Linked DNA regions of Neodiprion lecontei. The protein of the gene in region 1 interacts with the protein of each later gene in a pairwise test. Links are inferred from orthologs where the notes say so. Each region holds a gene or a part of one and is shown in the gene's direction. Other genes may lie near its edges.

The links.
Region 2: the proteins of 14-3-3 protein zeta (region 1) and slowpoke-binding protein interact in binary tests that used the Drosophila melanogaster proteins (3 or more experiments, as listed by UniProt). The link is inferred for Neodiprion lecontei from reciprocal best matches to the Drosophila melanogaster genes 14-3-3zeta and Slob.
Region 3: the proteins of 14-3-3 protein zeta (region 1) and Golgi phosphoprotein 3 homolog sauron interact in binary tests that used the Drosophila melanogaster proteins (3 or more experiments, as listed by UniProt). The link is inferred for Neodiprion lecontei from reciprocal best matches to the Drosophila melanogaster genes 14-3-3zeta and sau.

What each region holds. Positions count from the first base shown.
Region 1 is NC_060261.1:34,232,586-34,242,706, reverse strand, and holds the start of 14-3-3 protein zeta, read left to right. Parts: upstream 1-4,702; 5' UTR 4,703-4,842; intron 4,843-10,121. Other genes in the region: mRNA turnover protein 4 homolog, read right to left, coding at 3,087-3,239, 3,529-3,765, 3,870-4,174, 4,375-4,402. UniProt on the Drosophila melanogaster protein: Required in Raf-dependent cell proliferation and photoreceptor differentiation during eye development. Acts upstream of Raf and downstream of Ras, and is essential for viability.
Region 2 is NC_060260.1:23,028,726-23,038,734, forward strand, and holds the start of slowpoke-binding protein, read left to right. Parts: upstream 1-5,080; 5' UTR 5,081-5,300; coding exon 5,301-5,333; intron 5,334-5,637; exon of another isoform or gene 5,638-5,861; coding exon of another isoform or gene 5,862-5,864; intron 5,865-5,882; exon of another isoform or gene 5,883-5,971; intron 5,972-6,944; exon of another isoform or gene 6,945-8,294; intron 8,295-9,818; coding exon 9,819-10,009. Other genes in the region: peroxiredoxin, read right to left, coding at 1-154, 360-568, 915-962; non-structural maintenance of chromosomes element 3 homolog, read left to right, coding at 2,431-2,808, 2,903-3,071, 3,191-3,285, 3,522-3,653, 3,830-3,925. UniProt on the Drosophila melanogaster protein: Regulator of calcium-activated channel Slo. Increases or decreases the voltage sensitivity of Slo, depending on the absence or presence of 14-3-3-zeta in the complex, respectively.
Region 3 is NC_060266.1:25,424,291-25,435,185, reverse strand, and holds Golgi phosphoprotein 3 homolog sauron, read left to right. Parts: upstream 1-4,511; 5' UTR 4,512-4,742; coding exon 4,743-5,000; intron 5,001-5,064; coding exon 5,065-5,311; intron 5,312-5,392; coding exon 5,393-5,568; intron 5,569-5,988; coding exon 5,989-6,237; 3' UTR 6,238-8,097; downstream 8,098-10,895. Other genes in the region: damage-control phosphatase ARMT1-like, read right to left, coding at 8,628-8,981, 9,058-9,469, 9,540-9,725, 9,799-10,055, 10,138-10,243. UniProt on the Drosophila melanogaster protein: Phosphatidylinositol-4-phosphate-binding protein that links Golgi membranes to the cytoskeleton and may participate in the tensile force required for vesicle budding from the Golgi.

The sequences.
Region 1 (10,121 bases):
GAAGAAGAAACATTTTGTTGCAATGAAAGAATTGACTCCCCGTATTTTTCATAGCTTTCTAATATTTATTTCGGTTCTTTTTTCTTTTTAAATGACTAGCAAATGAACGACCACTTTTACTTTACTTTACGCTATGAAAACACATAGTCTACGTTGTTTATTCCAAAAACATTCCAATATAGGTGATACATAGTGAAACACGTAACTTGTGGACTTCAGTTGTTTATTTATTTGTCAATCTCGGTACTAGTTCCTTGCATCGCATACGTCACGCCGGTTTCATACTGCACCTAGCAGCTTAAGTAGCAGGAACAGCCGGCAGTTACTTGAATAAAATCAATACTACTTGAAATCTGAGAGTCGGTTAAACGTCGTCAACGTGTTTTGCTTTTGCTTTAAGAAAGATGAGAAATTGAATCTGTAAAAGATTAGTATCTGTTGCTTACGACATACTGCCAGCTTTTCACTGAAAGTGTTTTGATTGTAAACCAATAATTCAGGTGTATAACATTTACCTCTTGTCTTGTCCATGTTACTCAGACAATTATTATTTATTTTCTTTAAATGAGATTTCTATTCAGTTGGTGTTACAAATTGATCATGGTGAGTTGGAACATAAAAGGACTGACTTTTGGATTGTGATATTACGAGCAAGGGGATAGATAAAGTTATATTTAACTAAATTTAGTATCTGCTCAAATTGTTGCACGAAGTGAAACGGATCTAAATTACTTTTGTAGATTTATTGTTTAATTTATTTGATATATTATGAATTACTTCTTAAGATTTCAGGGTAAATTCTTTATAAATTTACATGTTGTACTGTTAGTTTTGAAAAGGTGAGAAAATTAAGAGAAAAATTGAAGAGGTGACATTTTATTTTTCATGTGATAAAGTATGATAATAGTTGACATTGATTAAAATAACTCAATCTTTAATATTTTCTTATTGTTGTGTGTATTACTCTCCGTATTATTTTTGTCATCAAGTAATTACACAACGCTGATTGACAATGCAATGCGTAATTACTTTACCAAAGATCATTTTCCACTTATATTATACATAGATAATCATACTTTTATATTTATAAAACCCTTCGATAATTTCTTAATTTTATTTTTGTCTCTGTATTTATTTGTAAAAAGAATTTGATGTGAAAATTGGAAGCGTATGGCACTGGAATAAAAAAGATTTGAGACATTCACATCTAGTTAGAATTTGTAAAATTACTATATGTTGGTTGAAATAATTGATTATCGTTTAGTAAGACATGTATATATTATAAATTATTCAGGTTATAAATTAGTCAGGTCTGTAAGTCACATTATGTAAAATATATAAACTTATTTCGTAACCAGGTATTATTGATTTTGTTAGTTAAGTATTATACTATCGTATCTAGTAAGAAAATTTAGTTTTCATTTTAGAATATGTGTTCGACTATTTCTTTGATATTACCTGATAAATAATTCGATATTTCGAGTTTTTCTTGTTATTACCGATCCTTTTGTTTAGGTAATTTCCAGTCGATATGACGATCTGAATTCCTGTGATTTGAGGAACATGAACAACACGTGTACACAGCTATATTTCATTCGCTCACTTCGCTTTACATTCAGTGTCGTCACATAATTGTTGCCTATAAATGATACGTTTTAGTGATAATTATCATGAATTAATGTATCTTAATGAAAACCTCTTGTCAGAGAGCTGATATTGCTATTAGAATGTCGAACTTATTTAAATTCTAACACATTGAGAGCGGAATATAACTTATTACGATTGTCATTCCAAATTGAAAAAGCAAGTTGCTCGTAATAAGATATATTACGTATTTATATTTATTTTGATTAACGTCATTCAAAAAGAATTGACAAGATTTCTTCTACAATTCACTCACTATTTTACATAAACATTATTCACTCCGCATGGGAACAAACAATAGGTATCTTCCGAGGATAAGAATAATTATGCCTTTTCAAAGTGGAATGCAGTTTGAGCTCAAAACCTATTACTATCAAGAAAACCTTATCAGTAAATAGATTAAATAATTAAATATGAAAGTTTGAACTAAATATTATCAAGCTCTCTATGCAACAGTTTATTCAATGTAATAATCATATCTTGTAATCTACACAAGTTTCAAATAATAAAGGGAAAAAAATAATTAACCGTTTTAGTATTATCAATTTGTAAAAGTAGTTGATAAATTTATTTGTACTCGTTTGCAGACGAATTGCGTCGAAAAGTTTGAAATAGCACTCTGATATTCAATTCAACCATACCAGAATTCATTTCAGATACTATACAAACAGTACCATTGAGATTTAGTCATTTTTCAGCTACACTACAAAAACTGTAGATTACTTGCTAAATAAAATTAGCCCGATACGTCGTTAGCTCATTGTGACTGGTGATTGCATTTCCGTTGTCCTCATTATCAGAAATGTCCCATGATTCTACAGAAGTAGTACTTCGTTTTTTATGATTATTTGCTGTGATTTTGAATGCCACTCTTTTAGAATTTTCACAACTAGATTTTGGAACAGTTCCATTCAGCCAATGATATATTATCTGTTGATTAACAAGATTAGATCCGATGATTTCTCACATTGGTATCAGAAATTGTAATAAAAAGTTTTTTCAAAGTTTTATACACATAAAAGGTACAATTTCGTTTAATTATTTCACTCACCCATGTCATACCGACGATCCAAAATATAGTGAATCCTAATATGCAACTCATTATTCATTGAATGAGTATGTACAATGTGTAAATATTGTGTATTATTTGGTAATAATATTTTTCATTAAATTTATCTTGATATTTGCACTGCTGACGAGAGATTTCAAAATCGTTTGTTTCTAATAACTGCATGCTTTTTTTTAGCAGGATTTCAAGGACTAGATTGTTTTGGAACATGCATGTTTCCTCGGCGCATTGCTGTCACTGATATTCTGGAATGTGAGATAAGAGAAAAGAATTGTAGGTTTTATTCACAAACTCAAGAAATGATAAACCGCAAAAATGGAAAAACAATTTTTTATTCAATATGTACATTTTTAGGTCATTTTTAATTCTGATTTCAGGTATCTGTTGTGTCTTCTGTTTCCATCTCTACATTGTCATCTTCATTATCATCGTTATCATCTGTAGCAATTGGCATGTATCCTTCACTCTTGACAAATACCCCAAGAGGCGTTAACTTGAATGTTGCTAATACCTTGCCAATGAGTTTCTGTAAGAAGGTACAAAAATAATGCTCCATACTGAATTCAGTAAATTGGTACTTTGTAAAGTATACACGTAATTCCACGAGAAATCTTTTGTGACATGCATGGGTGGATTTCAGTTTTTCTCAAATTTTGTATTGGATTTCATTCATGGAAAATTGAGGGAACTAGCATTAAAATTCCAGAAGAGCAAATTGAAAAAAAAAAGAGTACATAACCGAAGCCTTTGAGCTTTTTATAATGGAATTATCTATATACTTGAAAACATCTGCTAAACAAATACAAATGTTGTACCAGTATTCTGGCTTGTTCTGGAGTGAGTGTCTGGCCCTTTTTGCAAACTTCGTGATCCTTGAGCAATGTTACAACTCCCTTTTGAAGCGATGTGGGAAGTCCCAACTGCCTCAAATGTGGTTCTATACTGTGTGCAAACTCTGGCATCGGTCCCTCAGGTATTGTTATTGTCTCATTTGCAACAAAACCTGAGCGTGCATAATCCTCTTCACCATATTGTTCCATCCAGTCCAAGACCTGTCCCAAATAAAAAAACCTTTAAAAATACTGAAATAATTATATGATATATTTGCTTAATTCATTTATATATTTGTATATTGCCATTTTCATTAATCAAGTACCTCATCCTTAGGTCTGTTGGTGAAAAGGAGCCCACATTGGCCTTTGAGAGCGGCAGATAATTTGTGTATTTCATCTTCGACTTCTTCCTCGGGAGATTTGCCCAAGCCAAGCGCCATGATTTTGTTTTTACCAAAAAAGAACCTGCTATCCTTCCATTCAGCCCGGATGTCCTTAAGTTTGTTATTTCTCATGTTTTGAACGGAGAACAAAAAAATGCTGTTATACTTTGTTACACATTTACGGATGTCTTCGACGATCTGTTGTTTCAGAACCAGTCCCTTCTTGCTGGTCTTTGTAAGTGTGACTGAAAATTAAAACGAAAATTTATCATTTTTCAATAATTACAAGAACTTGTTAGTATTAGAGAATTTTTTATAATTCCAAATGCAAAATCAGTTACGACTATCAAGCATGTATATATCAAATTATAGGTTATGTGCAAATAATATCTGGACAACGGTTCAGATTTCACTTGTGCGATAGTGTTTGAGGTGATTTACGTACTTTTCTTGTCTCTTTTGGACTTCGGCATCTTTCACTTTCTGTTTTTTCAGACGGTCTGATTACTTTGAGGTACTATTTAAAAAACAAACCATGTGCTAGTAGCACCGGTTCGAATGTCACGCAGTAAACAGTCAGGAGGAAACGTGGACGCCATTTTGGTTACGTTGAATTCAACTTCACAATTAATTCATTTTTATTCAATTTGCAAGTGCATCGGTGAGGTATTGTGTATGTCAATAAAATTTTCGAAAATTACACAAGATGTTTATCGCACAAGGGTTGAAAACGGTGCGCGTATCGAATGAAGATAGGTTATGATCGATGGTAGGGGAAGTGTCTAATCGAACGTAGTCTAAAATGGCGGTTTCCGGCGGTGAGCGGCAGTGCACTCTGTGAGATCGTGTTAGACGGGAGTCGTTGAAATTCGCTGAAGCCTTGATTTTCCAGGCGACTTTCTGCATTCAAAAGGTGAGTTTTAACCAAAAATGTATCGAAACCGAATCCTCGCTAACCGGAGATTCCGTGCATACGATAGAAGTGTTAATTTTATGCTAAATGTGCGCAACGTCGTTTGCGGGCTGTGTGAACCCCGTAGCAACTAGAGATGATGGAAATTTTGGAAAGCGGCTTCCACATCGAATAAACGAGCAGCCATACAGATACTGACGTCGTGCGCCTATCACTAGGATAATCGAGCCAGTCAGTAATGACGGCATTTTTGATTTTCCGTGTCAAGTAGACGGGTTAAATCTTCCGGTTCGAGATCGTACCTAAAGAGTAAAGGCGATAGGCGTGAATGTAGCCGCGGAGGGTACGGCTCGAGTGACGCATTTAATAGGAGTGTCTCAGGCGCCAGGGGCGCCATTTTGCCATTTTGCCAGGTTGCCGGCGAAAAAAATGTCCAACTTTTTCACATGCATTTAACGTATCCCTGTCTGACAGTGCTCGGGCATTTCACCGTTTATCGACTGTCAGACTATCATTAACCACGTGCTACCGCCGTTCAATACCCGCATGTCAAACTGTCATATTTTACTCGTACTATGAGCGATCATTTTTTAAGAATTTAGCTCCTTATATGGTCATGAGAAATCGGAGATGTCCTTCTTCTATTTCCCTCTTTCTCGCCAACCGCTCGCACTTTTTTCTCCAATCCTCGATTCGTGTCCTCGGATTTTTAAATCTTCGTAATAAACGGTGTACCATCGTTGTCGTTTCGTCATACCTACTGTGCAATTATCCGCAGCCACACGTAGTTGTAGCTTGGTAGAAGTACGTCGCATACTTGACCGTGACAAACGCCTACGACTAGGCACGCCCTTTCTCTCATCCAGGTGGATCGCCTTATTACGTACTTTAATATCTCAATCCGGTCTTCAAACCTCCAACAGGCCTTGTTTCCCTTTCTTCCCAAACTGAACTTCATTTTTAGTTCAACTTTTACGATCATGTAACAGGAAAAAGTTTTAACGATCACACGAAAGGATATAGAATGAAAACTGCGACTAAATTAGTTCTCGTCAATTATGTCTACTGTGTCGGTAAATCTTACCGTGAGTTTACCTGTACGAGACTGATCAATAACAAATGGGAACTAATTAGCCCCGCTGTTATTGAAATCGATGGATTGGAATAGATATTATCCGCATCGCTACATGTGACTTAAATTCTCGTTGTAAATTCACAAATATGCGGCATTAAATCAATGTTCACTTACATGTCGCACCAAAGATCTATCGGATTCCTGGCAGATCAATCTTTGGCACAGGTCAACGTACGTACAGCACAATGTAACAAACAACGGTCAAAGAAATTCTTTGTTAGCTTCATAGAAGTTTAATTTTTATTTTATTTTTTTTATTCTCTCTATCCTCTCCAAGCGCACGCACCTGATTCTGGTTGGTTCGAATTTATTTGGTCAGAGAATCTATTCTCAATTACATGACGGTGGATAAATCTATTAAAGCAAGGCCACACGTCGTTCACGTGGGTGCATGCATTATGTGTCGTACGTAGTGTGACCCACGTCTGCCGTGTACCTACGCCGCGATTTATCTAGCATATCTAGGCAGGTCGAAAGCCTTTGCCTATAAGCAGATGGCGTCTCAAGATTTTTATGATTTTCGTGATTTTCATGCACATTTATTTTCCAAATGTATCTCTTTCTTGTTTTTTTGCTTTATCATTTCTGAACGCATTCGGCCGAGTTCGGCGTTGTTGCATGCTCACTTAGATCCGTCGCTGCCGAGATAATCCGTATGGAAATTACTACTATCAGCCGTGACGTCACGTGCCAGAGAGGATGATGCGACACGTTAATTTATATCAAGCGTAATGCCTGCTAGTGTAGAAAATAGTAAATGTGGGTTTGTGCAACCCGCCGACGATTTGTAATACCTGCGGGGTGCAATGATTCGCATGCAATGCGCGAACTCCGCGTAGCGTATGTGTCTCATTTACGACTACGCGAAAGCTGTTTCGAACATATCAATATGTCACATCCGGTTTTATAATATAGATGCATTCATATTAGGCTCGGCGCGAATATCTCGACGAGTTTCTCAACCAGGTTGTTACACACACGCGCACTCACATACGTGCATAATATAAGGCAATTGCCATGGGTAATGACTAAAGTTTCTCTTTACACACTTCCTTTCTTTCCTCTCGTTGTTTGTTTCTCTGTGCGTACACTGGGCACGTTGTATTCGTCATATTTGAGTTACTATTCCTCTTCGTCGTTATATCCCCGGTAGATGCAAATAATTCTTTAACGCTCGAAGTTGAAATAACTTTTTCCGTACTTGCGTAAAGATGCTATAATTTCAAAAAATTTTCCACAACTAGCTAATGTCTGAAATCGCTACGATGTATTTATTTACCGTAACCATCGTTCCTGCTACTTATACGATTCTATATAGGTATGTATATTATATCAAACGCAAAATCTGTGCTGTAACGGTCAGCAAAATCTTGTTACGGGTTGATACTTCCGGTTCATATCGCGTGACAGTGACAGATATCTTACGGCGGTGGCGAAAATCTCTTTTTCTTTATTCGGAATTTATCGCACATGCAGATGATCGCGGTCAAACCTGAAAATAGAGTATCGATAATACGTTATATCTAAAACTTCGCAAGAAAAATTCAATTCATATCTTAACCGCGTCAAATTTGATTAAATATACTTATACATATAATATCATTAGCTGATGAACTACGTCAGATTTATGCGTTCTCGACTCCGTCAGCGGTAGGAAAACGGAGCAATCCTATAAATTTTCCGTTTTTTATATTAACATACGTCATTGGATGTGAAAGAATTTTCCCTCTCGTAAAAGTTCACATTAGAGATCAGATGTGTTTTTCTATTTCTTACTTCCCTTTATTTACTCCCCTCCCAAAAAATAAAGGTTCGGATACGTATAGTGCAGTGTGTATTTAGCCAATACTGAATCGAATTGGATTTGAACATCGTGTCATTTCTCGTATTCCCAAATTAAGAATTTGGGTTCGGTGCTGTAGTATCAGCAACGAGTTACATACGCGCATAACACGCATAGTGCGATGGACAGCGTGCGTTGAACCGCATGCTGCGTCCGTTTCATTGAGTATAAAATATACTGCATGTACATTTTTTTTTTCTTTAGTACGCTCATTATATCAAACCAAACATCATCGCGTTGGGCACACATTTCACAAAAGGAGAGAAAACGTCAGTACAAACTATTCATTCTAAAAGAATATATATAGTTTATGTATTAACTATGTCAGAAAAAATAATTGTGCGTCAGAATCGTTCCACTTATATGCATGTGTATATGAATATATATATATATATATATATATATATATATATATATATATATATATATATATATATATATATATATATATATATATATATTTTTATATATACCTATAACACAATAGTTTTCATACCGTTGTTGAATCTTGAACACAAAATGCGCTGTAATCTGAAGAAGAGGAATGAAAAAATAACTTACCAATTAAATACGGTGTGTATAAAACTGCCAGTTATTTTTTTTTTTTCAAACGTTTTTACGTATTCCTATATTACAATATATGTATGCGTATAGTTTCGCGGAGATGAAAATACTCTACATCGTAATATCGTTCGATCCTCAGATGTACGTGTGTTCTCAGTATATGTAGACTCACTACAAATACATTATAATATACGTTGCTTAATGCACATACACGCATACACATACCCAACGATAATAATTCGCATCTGGCGAATAACGAAAAAGAAACTTCGAACCCGTCAAAGAACAAAATCGATGACAAGAATTTGATCCATCGTTAATTACACAATTGCAATGCAAAAAATCGCTCACACCTGCAATGTGATATGATATAATATAGTTGTTAGTAGAATAACGAAAATAATAAGACAATCAGTTATTGAACTACGTATTTAATCAACGAATATCGAATGCCCGACAGGTGATGCGTATAATAATTGACCGTGTAACGATCTGATTAGCGAGCTTTGGGGGGGGGGGGGGGGGATCCTTCAGGCCGCAAAATTGTAATCATTGTCATTAATTTTTGGCAATGGAACGCGTGCGTTGCTACTTAGCGATTACGTTCCTCTGTCGTCTTCTATCCCGCGTAATAGAAGTAATAGACGCTACGCGTGTATTATAAACAGGCTTACGATTAGCCTAGGTACTTGACCATGTACACCTAGACGCATCGTTTTACCTAACCAACAACCCCGGGTTTGACCACATGCTTCTCTTCTTTGGGTGACGCGTGGTAAATGTGTACCGTGTTGACATCATTCGCTATTCCAAGCCACTGACGCATTATTCTCTCTTTCTCTCTCTCTCTTCTCTGCTGCTAGGCATGACGATGCGTTGTGTATATAGCTACCTATTACACCTATGCGTGACATACGCACGCTTTGCACACACATATGTATCGGTATAGAGCATCGCGAACGCATACTTAACACCGCCGTACGCATCTCCTTCCCTTTTAAAAGTACCACGGTGCACTTGGCAAATGTGCACGTAGACGTACGGCGTGAGTTACACTGCACCGAAACAATTATAATGTACATACCTAATTAATTATCCTTATTCTGCGCAATTTCAGTCAATATTGGAGCTTTTGTAATTTACTCACGATAAATGTTTAATAAGACTGACAACAACTGTACGTAATATTGTGTTTTCTTGTATCGGGTCCAGTGTTATATGTATGTGGATTGGTTTACCTTTTATTTCATTCATTATTTTTCTTCCATATTGCGACGCATCCAGTTGCTGCTCGAGTATATATTTCTTTTTTTCAATCCTGTTGCTATGATTTGCACAGGTGTCGAGCGCCAGAATTAATTTATTATACCATAAGTCGTAAAGCCTCTGTCTACGTTGTACATCATTATAATATGCGACAGAAGTGACGGTGATGTATATATGTATGCATGTGCGCGTGTATATATATGCATGCATATGTTGTGTATAAAGGAGGTATGCGGTGAACGACGCACGCTTTTCTTACCTCTATAAATAATACCTTGCAAATGACAACATCGCTGACGATGAGAGCGAAAATTTTTCTCATATAATTTCTTTTTAGATATGATGTATTATTATACATACATGCTCACCTATACAATTCGTTACAATTAAACGCGTGAGACAAAAATAGAGAAGGAAAGAAAAAGATAGTTAAAAGGTCAAATCTAAGATAATATTTATTTGATTGATATT
Region 2 (10,009 bases), on another chromosome or scaffold:
TCCGCCGAGCCCCCCCTGCTTTCTAGGAGTATTAATCCAGGCCAAATGACTAAAGTGGGAGTCAGTTGACACTCCGATAACTTCTGTATTGAGCGCTTCAAATTCACTCATTCGGTCGCTGAACGCAACTATTTCCGTTGGGCAAACAAACGTGCTGAAACATTGTGGTCGTACTTTCAGGTAAAAGATATTCTGTCTATATGTAAATACAAATACCGCACAGCGCGATAAAACTAATTTCTAGAGAAACAATGTAACAAATATTTGCATTATGGAAATTAGTTGCCATTAATATCAGCTAAATTCTAGCAAAAATGCCAATACATTATCTTCCTACTTGTAAATTATAAACTACTTACAAGTCCAATGGGTAAAAAAACAAGACGACGTATTTTCCTCGATAATCCTCTAGTTTTATGTCCTTGAAGTCTCCATTGATTACTGCGGTGCCAGTAAATGATGGGGCTGGCTTCTGGATCTGAGGTCCCGACGCATTTAGCAGCCTGGGGCCAACAGTAAAGCTACGGATATTTGCGTTTACTGCGGATTGTGCCAGTCCTTGTTTTACCTGCCAGAGAAAACGTTAGTTTTGACGACACCTTTTAATCACTGATGACTTAGAATAAAATCATTAAACTATACAACAGTATAAATCTAGGTAATTGTTTCCAATTTAACAGCGACTGAAGGATGTTAATATTGTGCAAATTCCCAAATTTGCACAAATCCAAATAACATTTCTCTGAAGTATGACCAACAATTACCAGAAATTAGTTAGCGGTAAGAAATTGAGGCTCCAAAATAAGATGGGACTCTCTAGATGCTTGAAGCAACAATAACGTTTGAAAATTAAAAAAATTTGAAACAAGTGTTAATAGTAGTACAATAAATAGTTGAGCCATGGTCCTTCTTACCAAGTGCTTAGCTTGAAGTGAAAGATTTCTGATTAGTCCAGACATCATGAGATTGTTCTTTGATTTACGCTAACGACGACGTCGATACCGCACGGCAGATTGAAAAGTAACGCATAGGCTGATTGACTAATTTTACTGATCGCACGACCGTCGAAATGAGTTAGCGGTTACCGAAGAGGTTATGTAACCAAATTCATACACATTTTAAGATCGGTCTTACTTCCTTAGGCTGACGTCCTATCCATACAGTAGAAAATGACTGAATTTCTTACAAGCTAGTCATAAATTTGCTCGTATGGTGAGCACGGCATCTCTCCTACTTTTTTACATTCTTAACTTATAATCTGGTTTTGTTGCGTTTCATATTCTAATGCCGCGCCGGCCGAGTCATGGTTGGTAGAGGTGTGCCTTACCAGACGGACGGTACTCAATGAATATCACAATGTCACCAAAGAATTTATAGTTTGTCGATAGGGAAGGAAACTAGGGTAGCCACTGTATTATTTGTTATCGACATCCCAGCAGTGTTCCCTATGCTACCGACGGTATTACGTAAATCAAAGATTCGACGTGTAAATACCGTGGTAAATACCTAAATCTGTTTCTTCAAAAACTAAGTAAGTACATGCTTTTGGCGTCAACATAAGGTAGCGCTGCAGAAGCATCAGTGTTATTGTTTCCCAACATCATTACGACAAACCTGACATAGACAACAAAACTTAAGGAATAAATCATTCGTCTACGTTTGGAATTGATCGTTATTAAGTGCTCACGACTTTTATATCCATTAAGTATTTCACGTTTATGAGGGTACGTAAAGAATTTTTCTTTTTGAAAATAATGCTCGCCCACTGTTCCCGAGTAATTCAGTGTTGATGTTCATAGTCCAAACAATTTATAACCTTACATTCGGGACGGTGATTTGCTGCAATGCCATAGGGCTGGATTTAATTTATTGCACAAAATAGTGAGACAGTAAATAACTTTACAATTTTGTTTGTCAATGTGGAATTTATGTAGAGTAATGCCATAACTGTGGTCTGATTTACAAATCATTGTATTAAAGTTTGCAACGTCAACATTAGCTAAAAAATTTGAGGAAATGGAGCAAACAATTTATAATTAACATAAGTTTGATATTTGTGATTAAAAGTTATCAGTATTAAAATGTAATTATGCCTGCCTTCGTCTGTGATTGAAGTCGTCAAATTTTCACCATACCTTTCATAAACTCTTATTCTATACATAAACTCAGTATTTCACACAAAGTGTATTAACGCATACTATACAACTATTTTCAAACAACGCAGCTATTCTCAAAATGTTATTAAAAAATATGCAATGTTAATATAATGGTTGCTGATTCGTTTCCCCTTTTGCTCCGCACAGGCATTTGTGCCTCCTGGAGACATACCCTATCGGCGGGTGCTGGCAGTAATTATTATTATATTAAGCAGAATTTGGGTTAGTTCCTAGTTTATCTAATGTCGAATAAAAATATCAATACCTTTTAGCCATGTCTCAAAGAAACCATAATACACGCAGTACCGCACAAAGCACTCAGAGTTCTACTAGAAATACCTCATCAGTTAAACGATCTACTAGAAACGCCTCGCAAGCCAGTAAAACAAATACCAAAAACACTTCACCAACCAGCCAGAGAACCCAGCAAAATGATGACGATGAATACATGACACAGTCTCAAGCAACTCAAAGCAAAGATCTGACTGCTGAAGAAGAAAATCAGCTAGTCGGAAGCGTGATAAGATATTTATTAGCAGTTGACAGAACTAAGCATGTCATACAAAGACCACAATTGGTTAAAAATGTTTTTGGAACATATAATAAACATTATCGCAAGATTATGACCATAGTTAAAGCCACTTTGACTCAAGTAAGAATGGAAAGAAAAATTCAACAAGTAATTCAATACAGAATTTAGATATGTTTTGGTGAACATTTTTTTATTCTTGTTCTCATTTTTCTAGGTGTTTGGTTTTAATCTGGTAGAATTTGAAACTGGCAAATACATTTTGACAAATGCTATTACAATGAATCCTCCACATCTTTCGTGTCCGGAGAGCGAAAAACCCTGTCGAATTTTGCTGATTTTGGTTCTTGCTCATATTTTTATGTTGGATGGCATATGCAAGGAAGGTTTGTTTTTACTTGCTTGTTAACGTTACTTTCATTGAGCAATTTAATATAGTCAAATGTGGATCAGTCTGTGTGATAATCATACGCGATCTGTGTGTTTACTGTAATTGATGTTTTAGAATTGTTATGGGACTTTTTAAGAAAATTGACAATAATTCCTGCAGACGGTTTTAAGACTCAGATGTTTGGTGATGTACACAAAATAATCACTGTGGTAAGTATAAGTAATAAAAATAATGAAAAAAAATTTTATTCAACTTCTTATACCAATACCAAAGATTCATTTGAAAGGTGTATAATATGTTTATGCATATCCTCAGAAAGTTTTATCTTATTAGCGGTAATGATATACATTATCTCCATCTAAAGATTATAGTATTTTAAACATTTTTTCCGTCAACTAACTTTTATTCTTCTTCTTTATCTAATGTAAATATTATTTCTATTCAGGAATTTGTGAAACAACAGTATTTAAAAATGCCCAAGATAGGATCATCGGATCCACCTGCATATGAGTTTCATTGGGGTGTGCGTGCCGAGGAAGAGGTTTCGAAACGTCATTTGTTAGAATTCGTTTCAAAGGTAAATTTAAAGACGCCAAAACACAAAAATATACTCGATTTATTTCTAATATTTGTAAAAAGTCTATTGAAGCTTTATGCATATTTAATATTTATATAACATTAGAAGTATTTATTCTAACATTAGACTACGTTTAGTGATGTGAAGATGATTTCATATTTAATTTCGATTTCTAGATGTATAACGATCGCCCGATCAAAAGCTGGCCTAAACAATTCAATGCCTTGAATGAGTCCGAATGCCAAAGCATAGAGAGTGAAGACGATAACTAAGGTGAACCTATTGCAAAGAGTTTAATAAACTGACATGAAAATTAGGAAATAATGAAGCACTGTACTATTTTTGTAACAAGACTTTTAACCGTGTCCGTCTAATTATTTCTGTATTTTATACTACATACATTAGTGTGCTAAATTTTATGTATTATGGACTTTTTTTTTATTAAACATCTATTGAAACTTTTTGTAACATTAATTTCATGCATCATTATATTCACAATCTTAAATATTGAGTAAAACATTCACATAGATGAAAATTATTATCGGCCAATGAATGTTTCCAATATAAAGTATTTCACTTTCAGAACTCAATCTCAGACAACAGAACATATTTAAAGTTTTTAGACGAATACATGCAGCTGATTCTAACATGTGAGAAAAAAGTGGTTGAGATAAAATTCTAATACTTGTATGGAATACTTTGTGCCTTAAAATGTTTATCGCGAGACAGAAACAAAATTTGTGTTTTAAAGAAAACTTAACCACTCATTTTTAACATTTTACAGCACATTTTTTGGTGTATAAAGCAGTGTTGATTATTTTCTGAATATTTGAAAACTAGCTTTATAATTTACTATAAATAAATATCCGTTTGCGGCTGAAACGGATGAACACACTACGTATTCATTATATCTGCAAAAAAATATTTTCTCATTATTATATGCAATTATAATAGATTCGATGGTCTTGCATCGAAATATAGTAATAAAAAGTATGTACCACGTATACTTTTCATATAATGTTTTTTTTTAGTAAAACGCTATTTTTGCTTACTCGTTATAATCAAACACTAATGATAGCAACAATATTTACAAAAGTTATAGATTTTAAAAGTTTAAACATTAAAATCGTCAAAGAATCTATCTTCTAGTATAATTCTCGTTATTTTTTAGTATTCTTTCTTTTTATATCATAGATTGGAGTTTCACAGCGAACGTCTTCTCTTAATTTCTCTTTTCTAACTTCTTTTAATTCACTTTCTATCAGTTCGAACTGGTTTTGTACGTACAGATACTATTTAAATAGATTAAAGTAGTGTAATTGCAAAAACAAAACACAAATTCTGAATTTAAAAAAAAAAAATATGAAATATATACGTGACAGCAAAATATAGAAAGCAGATATATAATCGGCATATTTTTTTAAAGGAGGATTTCGTTGCAGACCTGTGTTACTGAAGTAACAAACAAAAAAGCCTACCACATTTTATCGCATCCAAAGTTCTTGAATATGTAACATGCTGCTCTTTCGTAATACTTTGATACCGATGAGGATATTATTAAAAATTCCCAGCTACCTCGCTAGAAGTCAATATCAAATCAAATATCATCGCAAATTCCAATTTCCGTTGGATAGTTACAGGAATTAAATGAATCTGAGAATTCAGAAGGAGACTCTTATGGTACGTATTTCGAAATTTTCATGTATATTTATGACAAAACTGTACTAATTTAATTTCAAACAGCATATAGGTACATTATATGAAAAAATACTTGATATATATTGAAATGTTAGTGCATGCAATTGTTCGTTTCATTAATCACCACAGAAATAATTACATTTGAAGTCCGATAAACACGGTGCTAAGAAAATGATCGAAAAACGCAAGAAATTAACAGCCGTTAGAGATCCGAAAAATACTCGTCACCCCAATTGATGTTTCTTTTTTGGCAAAATCCTTTGTGCTTTTTCGTATCTCCGAAAAGAAAACAACGTGACTCGCAGAAGCCGTGGGATTAGGCATCCGTGCATGCAGGTGAGATTACCTACGGGACGAAGAAGTATGGTCAAATTTCTCGCAGAGGTCATACGGAACGGGTACGACTAGGAGAGAAGTCTACGACCACGCGGATGACCCAGTTATATTATTAATGCGTCGACTCCAATCTCCCGTTTCAACCGACGTACATTGTGCATACATATGCCGTGAATGGTACATAACATTGAGTCTACGGTAGTCGTAGACAGACGTACATGTGTACTTCTGTACTCGAATCGGAGTGCAAGCTCGCAACAGTAACAAAATGGGAGTGAAATAAGGTATTCTAGGTTTAATTCCGCAGGTGAGCTTGATGCACGAAAAAAATGTCTGTGCATTATTTGACTGCAGCACAAATTACTGTTACATACCCAAATTTGAAACCTGGATTGGATTTATTACGTAATTCATGTGAACTAAAAAGAAACTGACACGATTATCTGAAATTCTTACATTTTAATTTGAAATATGTCGTTTCTTCTTCAAGATGACTTATTGTCCTTTTAATCCAAAATGTCAGAAGTAGATGAATAATGAATTCATTTTCGATTCCAGAGATGTGTATCATGAACGTCATTCAGGTTCAAACAACACAAGTCTGTAGCAGCTAATTGTGGCATAAATTTACGTAGGATTCTCCGCTTATTGTCAGAGTGATCAAAAAATCGAAAATTGTTTCGGTCGTAGAGCCGTAATCGCTATGAGAACCTGAGGAGTGTTATAAATTCGAAAAATGAAATATGAACGTATACTGAACGGATATTCCATTTTGTTAGTACATACACGCTATTGAAAACTCAAAAATTACCCAGTGACGGCATTTTGCAACTATATATCGTTATTTTCAAATCTGTTCTTGTGCGATCTACTTTGATATATTAAGTCTCTCCGAACAGATCCGAAATTATAAGTATTTTTCTTCTCAAGTAGCTTTGGAACAAAAAACATGTTCTCCTTAAAGTACGTAAATGCATTTTTTTTTTAATTATTTCTCAAAAGGATATATTCAACACTGTTGAACCAAACTTGTATAATTTCGCGACAATCAAGCGGCAAGACATTCAAACTATTGAACTGCAGTAGAACCTGGAAAATTGCCTCAGGAAATTTTTTTTTTTTTTTCAATTCCTCCCTAAACATATACGGGAAAATTTGTCGATCAGTGCATACGGCATGCTAAAACTTCTTCAGCTCAGCACCTTGTGGCAGCATAATTTCCTTTAAAACTATTATCATCATCACCACCTGCGACGATTCACCAAAGGTTTTCATGTAGATTTCAAAATAAGTTTGGTACAGTTTAAAAATCTTCGCAAAACTTTTCGAAAAAGCTGTCGAAAGGGATTCCAGAGCTTATTAACAATCCTATTCAAGAATACCAAATAATTACCCATTCGCGTAATGAAACTTGAAAAAATTAACAATTTCAACACCGGTACACGCAACTCTACACCGATCATACTCATATGTGCATGTAAACGATTTGGGTGGAGTTAAAAAACCAGAATAGCTGATCGACAGACGGACCAAAATATCGAATTTGCAAAGACGCGAAAATCTAATTCGTAGAATTATCATAATGTAGAAAGTTCAAGTATAGAAAGTTGAAAATATAGAAACGAGAAGCACAGAAAGACAAAATATAGAAAGTTTAAAACGTGGAACGGCAGAATCTAAAATCTGTATACGGTTCTATATTATCGAAACGAATTCTGACGACTCTACATTTAACATTCTTTATTCTGACCTTTCTATTTTTTCACTATTCGATACCACGAGTTTCCATATCTCTAAATTACACCGAATAACATTTTCGCTTCTTGAAAAATTCGCTATCGCGGCCCTTCCAATTCTCGATCTACCTATATTTTAACCCCCACCCAGCTATTTTCTTTGTCTCTAAACCGCGTGAGGTCAAAGGTCTGCAGCCCCTCGCGTATTTAAGCCGCCAGCGTTACCTTACTTTCAGGCGGGATCGTACAGAAAGGACCTAACACGGCTTCGGAAAGTCCCTTAATCCCGACAAGGAGACAGCTAGCCGCTAGACCGGTGCCGCCAGCTGCTCACTGTTCCACTTTGCAATTGTCGTTTAACGAGCCTGCATGCTGCACCACTCGTAACCCATCTACTTGTTCCCGCAACGGACAGCTTTGAGCTTTCGGTTTGATTCAGATTGGTCCCGGATACCGCGCTGCGGGCCGCAACCACCGGCTGGTAACGCGCCGCCCGCATCCCCCATTCCACCCCCAGCCTCGCCCAGCTCTGCCCTCTGCCCCCGGGGCAGCGAGCCCCTCGCCGAGTGAATCTATGTCACAGTCAGTGCATCCCTCGCGCTCGCTCTGCAAGCTCTGCAAGCTCTGCAGGCTCTGCAAGCTTTGCAGTCCGCCGCCGCCGCCGCCGCCACCCTCCCGGCCTTCCGCTCATTACTTCCGAGCATCTTGTCCCGCCAAGATTTGTCCTCGAGGGCTCCGAGTCGCGTCAGCGATGAAAGTTAACGCTAGTGCAGATAAATCACGAACCTGCACCTTTGCCGAGAATCGTTACTTTGCAAAGTAGAATTTTTTTCATCTCTCGTCAATCATTTCTACCATTTTTAGTAAACAAGTAAGTATAATATTCCTTTGGCGTGCGCTTTTGTTACAAATTTTATACTAATTATAAGTATACGTAATGCTTGAATCATTTTTTCAACTTTGTAGTAATTTTTTTTTTTTCTTCTTGTGAGTACGTATGAATATATTTTTATGTTATCTCACCCTTGCATGTAAATAATACACGTTGAACAAGCGTGAAGGAATTTTTTTCCCAGCAGCAGGTATTTTCCAAGTAAGATCAGTCACGGATATTTGAAATTGGGAAACTCGACCTTCTTTATACCTGTCAAATTCTTGCTATCTGCATCTGTGCTCAATACTTTTCCTACTGGTTTAGAAAATCTTGCGTTCCATTCACCAATTTTATAAATTTATAGCTGAACAATCGTTTCACACCGTGCGCGATTTGAGTGAAACTCAAAATGTACCGAAAACGTTTACTTGTAACCTTTCTTTATATTCATGTGAATCATTACTGTATACAAATATCAAATGAAGTCTCGAGGTATGCCATAAAAATTCTCTGGATAGTTCTCGATATTTTATTCGATCACCCGAGTGCAGGGTAACTAAAAAAAAAATTTAGCTCTTCAAAGTTTAAAGTTAAATGATATCAACTTATGTTGGCCAGTAGGAGAACATGAAAAAATCAACTGTTAAATTATGTTTTGTGGAATTTCACGTATAGCTTTTTGATGATCAGATGTCATTCGGAAATCTCTTGACAAAATTGACATGATTGTACGGTCTAGATTCATAGCTGTGAATAATAGCTTTGACAAGACTGCGTACGCGAAAAAAAACGGACAGTATCAGTAATGCTGATGATCAGCTGATTTTGTTATTCTCAATAGATTTGACACGCATGAACGCGGTATTTAAATTGTAATTATGACCTCTCTTAGTGACATAATTATCTATTCCTTCATTTGTCGTTTATTTTGTCATTAAGTACATATTTTTTATGATTGTATGTTTAACGTTCGTACCTCAACGCAGCGAAATATTTCGCTCAACGCTTGAAAAAATCTTCATAGTCACAATTTACATATCCTGGTACGGTTTTTAATTATCATCTTTATGAGGAAATTACATGTCGGTGCATGTTGTTCTGTTATTGCGGATATTTTTATGGTCCAGCCTAGGTGGTATCCCAGATAACAATTAGGGCAAAAAATATATCAGGGACATCGAAAAATTTATGTTTTTGTAAATGACTTTTTAAACTGAAAGTCTAGTCATTCGAAGTAAATTACAGATTACATAAGCTCAAAGATTTCTATTGCTCTATAACTTGTAATAATTTTGAGACATTGGTCTTTCTTTATACGATTTTTGGTTTACGATTAATTGTTGCCTGAGATTCGGTTTAGGCTTAACGATATAATACTATTGATTATAATTGCTTCTGAGCAAAAAGAGCTAAGTGCTAAGTGCTAAGTGCTACTCAAGTATCGTTCTTTTGTCGAGTGCAACACAATATTCTTTACTTAATACTACGCTTCGCCAAAGATATATTTTTCCGATGTCACAGACTTGGGACCAAATTCGCCGGGTGAAAATGTTCAACTTATATCAAAATATGAACCGGCGAGAAGAGGGTGAAAATCGTCGTGAACCGGATATGACCGGACACGATCGTTTCTGTCAAGTACGGCCAAAGTCACGGCGTAAACGACGGCAAGTAACTCGACGGGCCCAAAGTGCAATCGAATTGGACACTGA
Region 3 (10,895 bases), on another chromosome or scaffold:
TTGAGCTCCGGGGCAAAAGTTCTTCTCCGGAAAGCCCGTGCCAGGAATGATTCCGAGAGGATAATCACGACGGCTCGCATCGTTAGCACGTCGGAAGGCTGCTAACTCTGTACCCGACTAACACACACGGGCGTATCTCGGGATGCGGTTGTGTGCGTGTGTGTGTGCGGTTGGTATAGGCGAGGTAAATAAGAACGATAATAAGGCGACGGGTGTAGTAATGAGACTCGTCTGGCGTAAAACTAAAAGTGAGTATAATCTCATAATTCGTGAAACGTTATTGTGTACCTTCATTGTTGTTACACACTGTATTCGGAATCTGTGGCGGCAGGTATAATTAAACACATTGCACACACATGCCAATGACAATGTATGTTATGCTTTGCATTATTGTAATGTGCAATGATAATAATGTGATCAACGAATATGATATAATTGTATTTTAGATCGCATAATATGAATATCGTACACGTTGTACGTGCAATGTTACGTTTAAATGCGAGCAGACACGGTGGAGGTAATTATTATTACCAACGATGGTTCCCATGTGCAAAATTTTCCCGCATTCACTCGCTCTATGCATTCGTATATGTATATTCATACACACGTTTATTAAATCGCAATATTCATCGAGTCGCACATTAATTATGAGGCAATCATCCGCAACTTCGTTGTTCGTGCGTTTTGATATAAATAATAATAACGCCGTCATCACACACGCGTACACAGGAACGAGATATTTCGTATCACACGTACGTCCGATTCAAATTACACTCGCTGATTCACACGCGCTGTAGCGAGTAGAAACAGGAAAAAAGAAAAAAAATTTTTCAACCGAAATAATAAAAAAATCCGCGCGATCGTTCAACAGGCAAGAAAATTTTTTCACACCGTCAGCGAGCAGCGGCTGCAGGTACACGAGGCCTACCTTATACTTCCGCAGATCCCGATTAACCCTCAGCCGTTGGATCCTCGACGGTGTGATGAATTCCGAACATCGCGATTCCTCCGCGGCAGCCTCTCGTCACTCCCGGATGATGTCGTCGACGAAACAATTACGCACGGGGTAGAACCGGAAGCTCAACATGAGAGTGCACCGCGCATAACTGGACCTCGGCACTAGAATCGGAGGATCCGTGTTTTTTTTTTTTTTTTTATTTATTTATATATTTTTTTTGCTTCCCTCGTCTATCGTCCCCAATCGGCGATTAAATCGGCAGAGAAACGGCGGTCCAGACGGTCGAACGCGGGGACGAACGTTTGTCGACTGAATAAACGCGGCTCTCCGCAACCTCTCGAATGCGACTGTATGCTCGCGGAGAGTCCGCGGGGGCAACGCAGCTTTCGCTCCCACCACCTCGTGCACCTTCTACATAGGTGTATTCCTACCTGCCTGCCTGCCTGCCTGCCTGCGGAGCCGGTGCCCGGTTGTATTAAAATGGTTTTGTGGTGAAATACACGACGATCGTGTGTGTAAGGCTGCAGCCTGACCGTCCTCGTCGAAGGTGGATGTAGGAGCGCGTCTGTGTATCGACGAGTAACGTGTACGAACGCCGTTGACATTGAGGCGGACAGTTGTTACTTTTACCCGGGTCTGCAGGTGTTGGTGTCGCTGCACCGAGAGAGGAGTCTCGGTGATGCCACCGACCGCGACATGTCGAGTAGGTTGCCGTGGTACGAGGTATGCGGTTCCACCTCGATTAGCCCTCCGCTTTGACAACGGGAAACAGACCCGGTCGTTAAACTCCGCCGATTCTAACGCCGTTTGTTCAGCCGTTCTTCCCGATCTTGGGAGAGAACCCTTTCAATTATTCATTACTATACGCGTTACTCCTCACCTCGCCACGAGTCGACGTTTCGCGCCTACTTTGAAGGAGATCGTACCTACATAGAGCTTCGTGATAGTTAAGTCGGTTCTACTGCGGTGCAATATCGGACCCTAATTTGACGGTGAAAATGTACGAAATTTAAAAAGAATACGATTAAGACGTGCGAAATCAAATTGAAATCCCAATAAATAGGAATTGGTTTACTCAAGCGTTTAATCGTATTTTCTTTATATTCGATCAGTTGATAGGGTTTTTCTATTCGCGAGAACGATGAATGAATACATTTGAAAAGCGATCCTTAAGTTGGGTTTCTTCTTAAATCTTCACGACCTGGAGGATCAACGTAGGATTTCTGGGTTCAGTTTCCCTCAATCGGGTCAAATGTAGACTCTAAATTTCTACTCGAGCAACAGCGCGAATTTATCGTCATCGTTGTCGTCTAAGTGTAGGTACACTTTTCTACAGGTAGGCCGATTTTATCCAGGTACACGTACCTGTAATACGTACGGCGATAGTTGTTAGAGAACCCAGTGACGCGCGACTAAGCACAGTTAAGCCGTACTGCCAGGGCTATTACCGCATACCTGCACCATCTGCATGTGTCGATGCTGGACTCCGTTCGCTGCACCGCCCGGCGAAAAATCGAAATCGCAAATTGTCCTAACTGTACGTAACGCTCTGCTCCGATTTTATACTCTCTGTCATTATTTCCTGGCACCAGGAGGAATTGTCTTCAGCCGTTGTTGCGCCTGCGGACCGTTCCGTGGACGGGCTGCCGTAGCTTTTCTCGTACAACGAGACCTCGTTGTTATCCACTACCGTACCTATTCTGTAATGCCCCCGTTACAATTTTACTCCACCGCTCTTCGCGGGGCCCAGAGCCGCGGCGCATAAGGAAACGACTTGAGGATTTATGCTTCTCCGTGGAAACTATCGCGGCATGCAGGCTGTACTGGACCCGGTTAAACAGATCGCTAAATGAACGGTTATAATTGAGACCGTATAGTATTATAATATCTCCGCCTGCAGGCTCTGCGGATATCCTGCAGGCAGCCGCTTTATGGTCTCATTACTAATGTGCGCGTACCTATAAGACCTGACTATTCGCTACGGGGCACTTCCTTCTTGCAACGCGATAATAACGCCGAGGAACTCGGAATACCGGCAATTATCACCGCAAAGACTGGACGCTCGTCATTTTCCTATCCGCCCGAGTATGGACCGGATGAAACCGCGAACTGATGTACACACGGTTTTAAAATAACCCATTCGTAAGAAATCCTGTCGCGTCGAGGATGGAGAAGAAAAATATATATATATATATATCACGGGAGATCGCATAGTTTGAGAATTGAAATCCATTCTATAGACTCGTTTTCAAAGAACGAACCAATCTTCAATTTACATACAAAAGTCTGACGGTCAATAAACCAAAACGAGTTTCGAACAGCCGTGAAAACTTCGACGCATTTTAATTTATCGCGACTATCAAAAAGCGTCAGCGGATGTGGTGAAAATAAAAGCACCGATGGTACTAAACCGCGCGATTACGCACGAGTAGAAATAAGACGTAATTCCATTGCATGAAGCGATATATTGATACACGCGGTATATTGATTATCGGTTGCGTGTCTAATCGTCGTCTCGTGCGGCGCGAAGCGTGGTGTAAAAGTGCTGGTATCGTTCGATGGATAATCGCTCGTTACACGTGCGATACGGGACTAAACGGCGCGAGAACGCTTTTCTTGTTGTTTGAACAAAAGAATTTGTCACCGGTGAATAAGCGTGAACGTTGAATATTGCCATTTCATCATTTTCTAAAAATAAATTCTCGGTGTCGATCGACAAGGTGGTTTCAAACTGAAAACAGTAGAACAACGCGATCGTTATTCGAGATTCGAGGGTCGAGATCAGCGCTGCCAACCCCTCGAGAAAATTCTTTGAATCTAAAAAAATTAGAGTCCGTTCAAGGAAAACCGAAAAGTTGTTTTTTTATCAATAAATGTTGTCGCTTAGACCAAAATCTGAAGATAAACTCAAGACTTCAAACGAAATCTCAAGACTGACAGCGTAATTTCTAACATTGGACTGTGAAATAGAAACAAGAGACTAAAAGTAAACCAATCGTAAAGTTTCTGTCAAAATATAAAAATATACCGATTACCTTGATAGTGTCTGCAATTTGCAAGTGCATTTATTTGACAAGTTGTTGGTACTAAATATTAAAAATAATAACACATTATATAAATAAAAGTTCCTAACATCTTTATACTCACAATTCAGACTGTAGGATGTAAATCTGTCTGTCTTACCTCGTTCGTTAATTATCATTACAGGTATATTTCTAGTGAAACTGTCCGTGTTATAAGGCGAAAAAATTAAATACATTATGTATTCCTGTTTATTATATATTCAGTTTCAATTGCGTTAAAAATCACTTGTGAAAATAAGAACTACGAAGAATTATTGTGGCACCATTAAAGCATCTAAAGCATTATTGTGGTGCCATCTGAAGAGAAATCAAAAGAACCGTCTTAGCGTTATTTAAAAAAATATTCGTCTCAGTATACTGGCAACGCTGTTCGAGATTCGAAGTTCCATGTTCGATATTTGAAGTTTCAATAACGGCCGGCAGATGGCGCCACCGCTCGGTGGATTTCTTGACGGCTCGAGAATGCCGAAGGGGGGATGAAAGTGATTGCTGGGAGCGACTGGCACCGTGTAGGCCATCTTGGAAAGATATGTCGTGTCTATGTAAACGTCAACAGGAGATTGTTTATCCGACAACAGACGGTCCGGCCTTTTGCCCTTACTAAAATCGCGCATCGTTGCGAATCGTCGTCACCGAGGAGGGTCGCGTCACCAGCGTCATTTCTGGAATAATCCGCCCGCTCGTATCTCAACAACACACGCATGATGAATCGGGGTGACGGTCTGGTGCAACGTCGCAGAATTGTAAACAGCGGAAGCGGGGGCAGCGGGGGAAACGGGCAGGATGGCTCCAACGAGCTAACCGGGAACTCGGACAAGTCCTCGGCGCATGGCGCCGACTCCGAGACTTCATCCCAGAAGGACCTGAACTGCAATCCAGCCGTTGACTCTGACTCCGACAAGGAGACGAGGCTCACCCTCATGGAGGAGGTCCTGCTACTAGGACTCAAGGACAAGGAGGTAGGTCTGCGCTGTTCTTCTCCTAGAGCGACCTAGGGCTCAACTTCGAGGTTCCTTCTTTCAGGGATACACGTCCTTCTGGAATGACTGTATCAGCTCCGGCCTGCGCGGCTGCATCCTAGCCGAGCTCGGTCTCAGGGGACGAGTCGAACTTGAAAAGGCTGGTATGCGGAGGCGCGGTTTACTCGCCAGGAAACTCCTCCTCAAGAGCGACTCGCCTACGGGTGACGTCCTCCTCGACGAGGCTCTTAAACATCTCAAGGAAACCGATCCTCCTGAGACTGTTCAGAGCTGGATCGAGTATCTCAGCGGTAAGCCGTTTACGCATCTGTTCTTTCTGATTTTAGCATTCGAAGACAAAAGTCGAGGGATTGATTGTCGCGTTGTTTCAGGCGAGACTTGGAATCCGCTGAAGCTACGATATCAGCTCAAAAATGTGAGGGAACGATTGGCCAAAAATCTTGTCGAGAAGGGTGTTCTCACCACTGAGAAACAGAACTTTCTTCTGTTCGATATGACCACTCACCCGCTCACAGACAATCTCGCCAAAACTCGGCTGGTCAAAAAGGTTCGCTAAACGTAGAGGGAGTTCGGCATAAAATAGTTAACGCACTAAATTGTGGGTAGTGGTGATAGCGCTTATCTAACACATCGGAAACTGATTAGATAGAGAAAAATCATTGTTTGACACTCCAGAAGCTGTTCGCTTACGTCCGGTCATTAAAACAATCAAATATGTCTTAATCTTTAGAGGGCCAGCATTTTTCCCTTGAAATTCGACATTTCGTAGAGACATGATTTATCCATATAAATAGTAATCACGTCCCATGGAGTTTCGGAGTTATTTGCTGACTCCTAAATGAGCCAGGCCGGCTCTCTAAAGATTAAAACAACTCTTTGTCTGGTACAAATTTTGTTTTAGCACCAAAGTTTCCACAAGTACAATCAAGTCGAGTGTCCGTTTTAATTTTCCCTGCCTTGCCCACAGATTCAAGAAGCCGTATTGGGTCGTTGGGTAAACGATGCAGGCCGAATGGACCGCAGAACGCTGGCATTGGTGATTTTGGCACATGCAGCCGATGTCTTGGAAAATGCGTTTGCCCCGCTGTGCGACGATGACTATGAGGTTGCGATGAGGCGAGTACGAACTTTGCTAGACCTCGACTTTGAGGCAGAGGCCGCGAAACCAAACGCGAATCCCGTCCTTTGGGCTGTATTTGCAGCGTTTACGAAGTAGCGAAATTTCCCCAACTGCCTCAAAGTATAGGGATCAATGAATTAATTTGATATATATGTGTAAATAGAAGGATCGAGTGTACGCGTGTCGTTCAGAGTCGCGCGTCGGTGTACATATGCACACCCAGGGAAATTATACCACCCTTACTTTCGTTAATAAATATTTATAGTCTTAAGGGCGTCCGACATTCATTTTCGTTCCGAATATCTCAATGCTTGATAGCTGAAATGTTCGTATTTTATCGTTCATGTAAACGTATCAAAATGAATGACAGGTTCCGGCCCGTATTTGTCCGTGATATACGTCGCCCCAACTTGGTTTCGACCCCTCAAATTGTCCAGCGAACCATTTTGGTGCGAGAGGTGATGTTTCCAAAAAAAATTCTAGACTTTTTTGAGAGAGAGACATTCGTTTTTATTTCCTGTATTTTTGAGCGTATTTATATTGGTATTCTTTTTTTTCTTCTTGTTTTGGTCACATTCAATAGCTGCAGCTTGAATTCACTTTTGCGCCAAGCGCAAGACCAACACTCATCTAATTCTTGATCATTGTAACAATGCCATTTATTAGGTATATAATTTCTAGGTTTTTTCCTCGTTTGGTTATTTCCTTTTGTTTTAGTAATTTTTAGAACGTGTGTCAATAGAGCTTATTTGAATTATTGGCGGGGTAGGTAAAACAATTTAGGACGGTCGTGTGAGTTATGATAACAGTACCTACATATTTTTTTTAGAAGCGAACGTAAGTATTATTTGATATACGTTGCAACAAATTTGAAGAGTGGTACATTTTATAAAATTCCTCACGGTAAATGATCTTAGTGGCTTATTTAATCTATAAACCGGAAGTTTCTTTGTGTTTTATTCGCGATTACGAAGTATTCATGTCCCGGTGTAAATGAATTGTTTCTATTACATTTCTCATCGATTATTCCAAATAATAAATGTCGCTCTAATTGTGACTTTCAAGCAAGCTTATGCAGCTAATCACCTGCAAAAAGTAAAACGGATGAATGAAATAAACATAAATCAAGTTAATCGATTTTTTGTAAAAAGGCATGCAGAGAGAAGCGGTCATTTGACGAAAAGATAATTGTATACTAGAAATATTATAACGAATCGCGTAACTGATGCAATCACTTAAATTGCTACGTCGATTTATATCTTATCAGCTGGAAGGGAAGAGAGAGGATAAAATTTATTTAAGAAATTTTAACGTTATTTCCCAACATTTGATATCTAAGTTATAATATAATGATTGTACAAACGTTTATAGGACAGAAAGGATATTATGTATTTACGAATAATGGTTACTTATTACTCTTTATTATTATAAAATATTGTATTACTACTAAGTGTAATAAAATAAATATTCCAGGTAGTACAAGATAGTCGTCAGCAATATCACGCGAGGTGTAAATTGGTGAGGCAGAAAAGGCTGTGTTATGTGCACAGGTGCGAAGTTTCGTTGGCAGGTTTCATTGAAATCACTCGCTAAAATTTGTTTACTCCACTCACGATTAGGCGCACCTAATAAACTAAGCCACTTGCTCCTTTTATTTGGAACTGAATTTCTCAGCTGCAAGTACTAGTCTTCATAGCTGCTGTTATAAGTCCGTACTTTCCAGCTCTCATCCACTCAGAATCCGTTTTGCCGAGAGACTGCTTCGTTAGGCTTCAACCCTACACGGTCTTCCGACTTGACTGTCCTCAGACTGACAAAATTCAAATAATCAGGAGCTGACAATTGATGAGCTCATAGAAATGTGTGAGGAAGAGCAAGGCATGGAAGAACCTCATTCTTTAGACCCAGTTCAATTGGAAGATCGTGTAAAGGTTGGAAATTTCACAGAAGGCCTCAGTTCAATTGAAAAAAGGTTACAAATTTTGGACAAACCGTCGCGCGTCGTAATGGTTGAGGTACGAACGGTTAGCAAGAACCGCACAGAATTTGAAAACTCTGAAGTTGATACCGCATTCGGCGAATTTTTTGTTTTCTAACTTTACGACATTTTCCAAATAATCGATAACTATTTTCCTATTTTTGATGTCATCTAAAAATTATTCCTCAAGTGTTGGTAACAGAACCCGTGCCAACAGCAACGTTGTCATTGTTGCGAGTAATGCCAAATTCTGCTTAGGGTATAATTCTCAATTACGTACGTATACTTCGGTACATAGCCAGCCAACTGATATGATTTTTAATTTCGAATAAATATATATTTCATAATGGGTGATTAAATTAAGGTCATTAGAAGTACGTGTAATACGCATTGATTACTATGGATGCGTTAGTACAGAATTCTATTATACTACATAGAATAAATTTCTCTTTTATTCGGACAAAAATGAAAATTCTGAGTTTTTTTGTCTACTTTGAGTGACGGCAGATTATCCTGCTCTGCTGCAGGTCTGATTATTTGCAGCCGCTGTTATGACACCGTATTTTGCTGTTCCAAGCCATTTCGGATCTACTCTTGCGATAGACTCAGCTTGGTTGGGCTTCAACCCCACACAAACGTCCGACTTGAGTGTCCTTAGACTGACGAAATTCGTTGGCAAAAATCCTCGGATTGCTTGAAGAATGCTCGTGGTGTGTTCCCAGTTAATATCTCCGAATAATTTTCTGTAATTCAAGTCGCCCTTGAATATGACCAGACTTGCTTCTGAAAGTTTAGCGTACAAGGCGGGATCCTTTTGGGGCATTTCTGAGAAAACAAACGGGCTGGTCCAGAAAGGCTCATCCTGTAAGTGAAGGCGGAAAAAAATGATGAATCTCGTCAACCGTTTCAAAGTTCGCGCAACTCTCGCAGATTCCTACCAAAATAGAAAATACACCGGTCTCTACGTGACCCTTCAGCAGCTCTCCAAACCGCGATAAATCAGGATTCGAAGAATTCTTCATGTGTTGGATGATCCATTGAAAATCTCGCGTGGTAACGTCACTGACGAACCAGGGAATACGTTTCACGTAAAATCGTATCCTATCTGCAAGATTGCGAGCGATCAAAAAGGCGGAGAGACTGAGATCGGTGAATAATTCGTAGCCTGCATTGTCCAGCACTATATCGACCGTTATCGTGCCGTTGGGCTTCTTCGCTCTGCAATTAACCAAGGCATTCCAGGCCAAATCGGTGCCGTCTACGAGAATGTTTTTATCCAGGCCACTTAGTAGTTCGAGCGGATTTCCGGTTTGACCTACCGCAGCACCATGGCTGAATGACAGATCGACCCTGCGCGATAAAATACGTAAATAATCATGAAACACAATCGATCCGTAAAAACTTTACACCCCGAGTTTACCTGTTGCCCCATAAGCCCAGTTTCAGGTGCTTAATAAATTGTTGTTTCTCATTCGCCGATGATACTTCCGGTATTCTGTCGATTTCTTGCAGAGTATGAGCAGCCACTGCAATGGCGCTTGCTGTTGAATCCTCGAAAGCCCGTCTTTTTTGTTTAGCGAACGGATCGTAAAATTTCAACGTTTCCCTGAATCACAACGAGTTCTTGTTAGCTTCATGAAAATTTTTCTCTCGAAAATTTGCCTATTGCAATTCCTTACGTGAAATGAAACGCCTCAGCGATCCTTCGATACACGTAGCATTCCAAGTAAACGTAGATAGTGCTGTAAAACCTTGGAATAACTCCCTCTATTTTAGTACGTTCTGCTAGATAATTGTTCCACACCCTGACCTCGTTAGACCAGGTATCATTTTCATTAGGTGAAAAACGCAGAGGTTTCAACTCTGCGTTTGTTAGTATCTCATTCTTCAAATTGCGAATGGAGCTCAACGCTTGATCCAAATCTTTCCCAGCGGACTGTGAAATTAAAAAGAAATTAACAACGAGATCAAATATTATCGCCCAGGGTATTGTTTACGAAGTTTCGAACGAAGTTTACCTGACCGTAATTCTGAACAATTTCTTCTCTATCATTGACGAGGGAATCGATGACTCGAGTTACGATCCGAGGTAGTCCATATCTGACTCCATGATAGGCGAGACTTCTGCAGATTTATTAAAAACACGTGATAAACCTTGAACGTATAACACACTTCCGTAGGTGTAACGTAATATATCTATATCACGTCGGTGTAACATTTTACAGTAAAGATGTATGTATCGTATCAACAATTGTTTTACTGTCAGTAAAATCACGGAACTTATGTAATACATTCCATGAAAAGAATTACCCAATTTCAAGAAATACAGAGCACGTCATATACTAGATAATCCGCGAATTTCGTAAAATCACGCGGGTCGTAAAACATCAGTTTTAAAGACTGGGAAAAGAATTTGAGTGAGATTATGTATGAACATATGTATGAACTGATGTTTTACGACGACGATGTTTTATATATATATATATATATATATATATATATATATATATCGAATGTCTGATAGCGACTTATAATCAATGATCCGTAGATGACCCCTATTACACGCATTGCGTAATACGTCGTAATAAAATATACATATATATATATATATTTAGAGCTATTTTGTCGCCCAAAATATTGACCACCTGACGTGTAGTACCACTCATTATTGAAATTCTCTTTAAGCAAATTAAAAAAAAAAAATTCCTTCGCCGGACTTTCTATAATTATTTAAACATTCAAATAATCTAATTAAGTTTTCACGGTGAATGCCCTT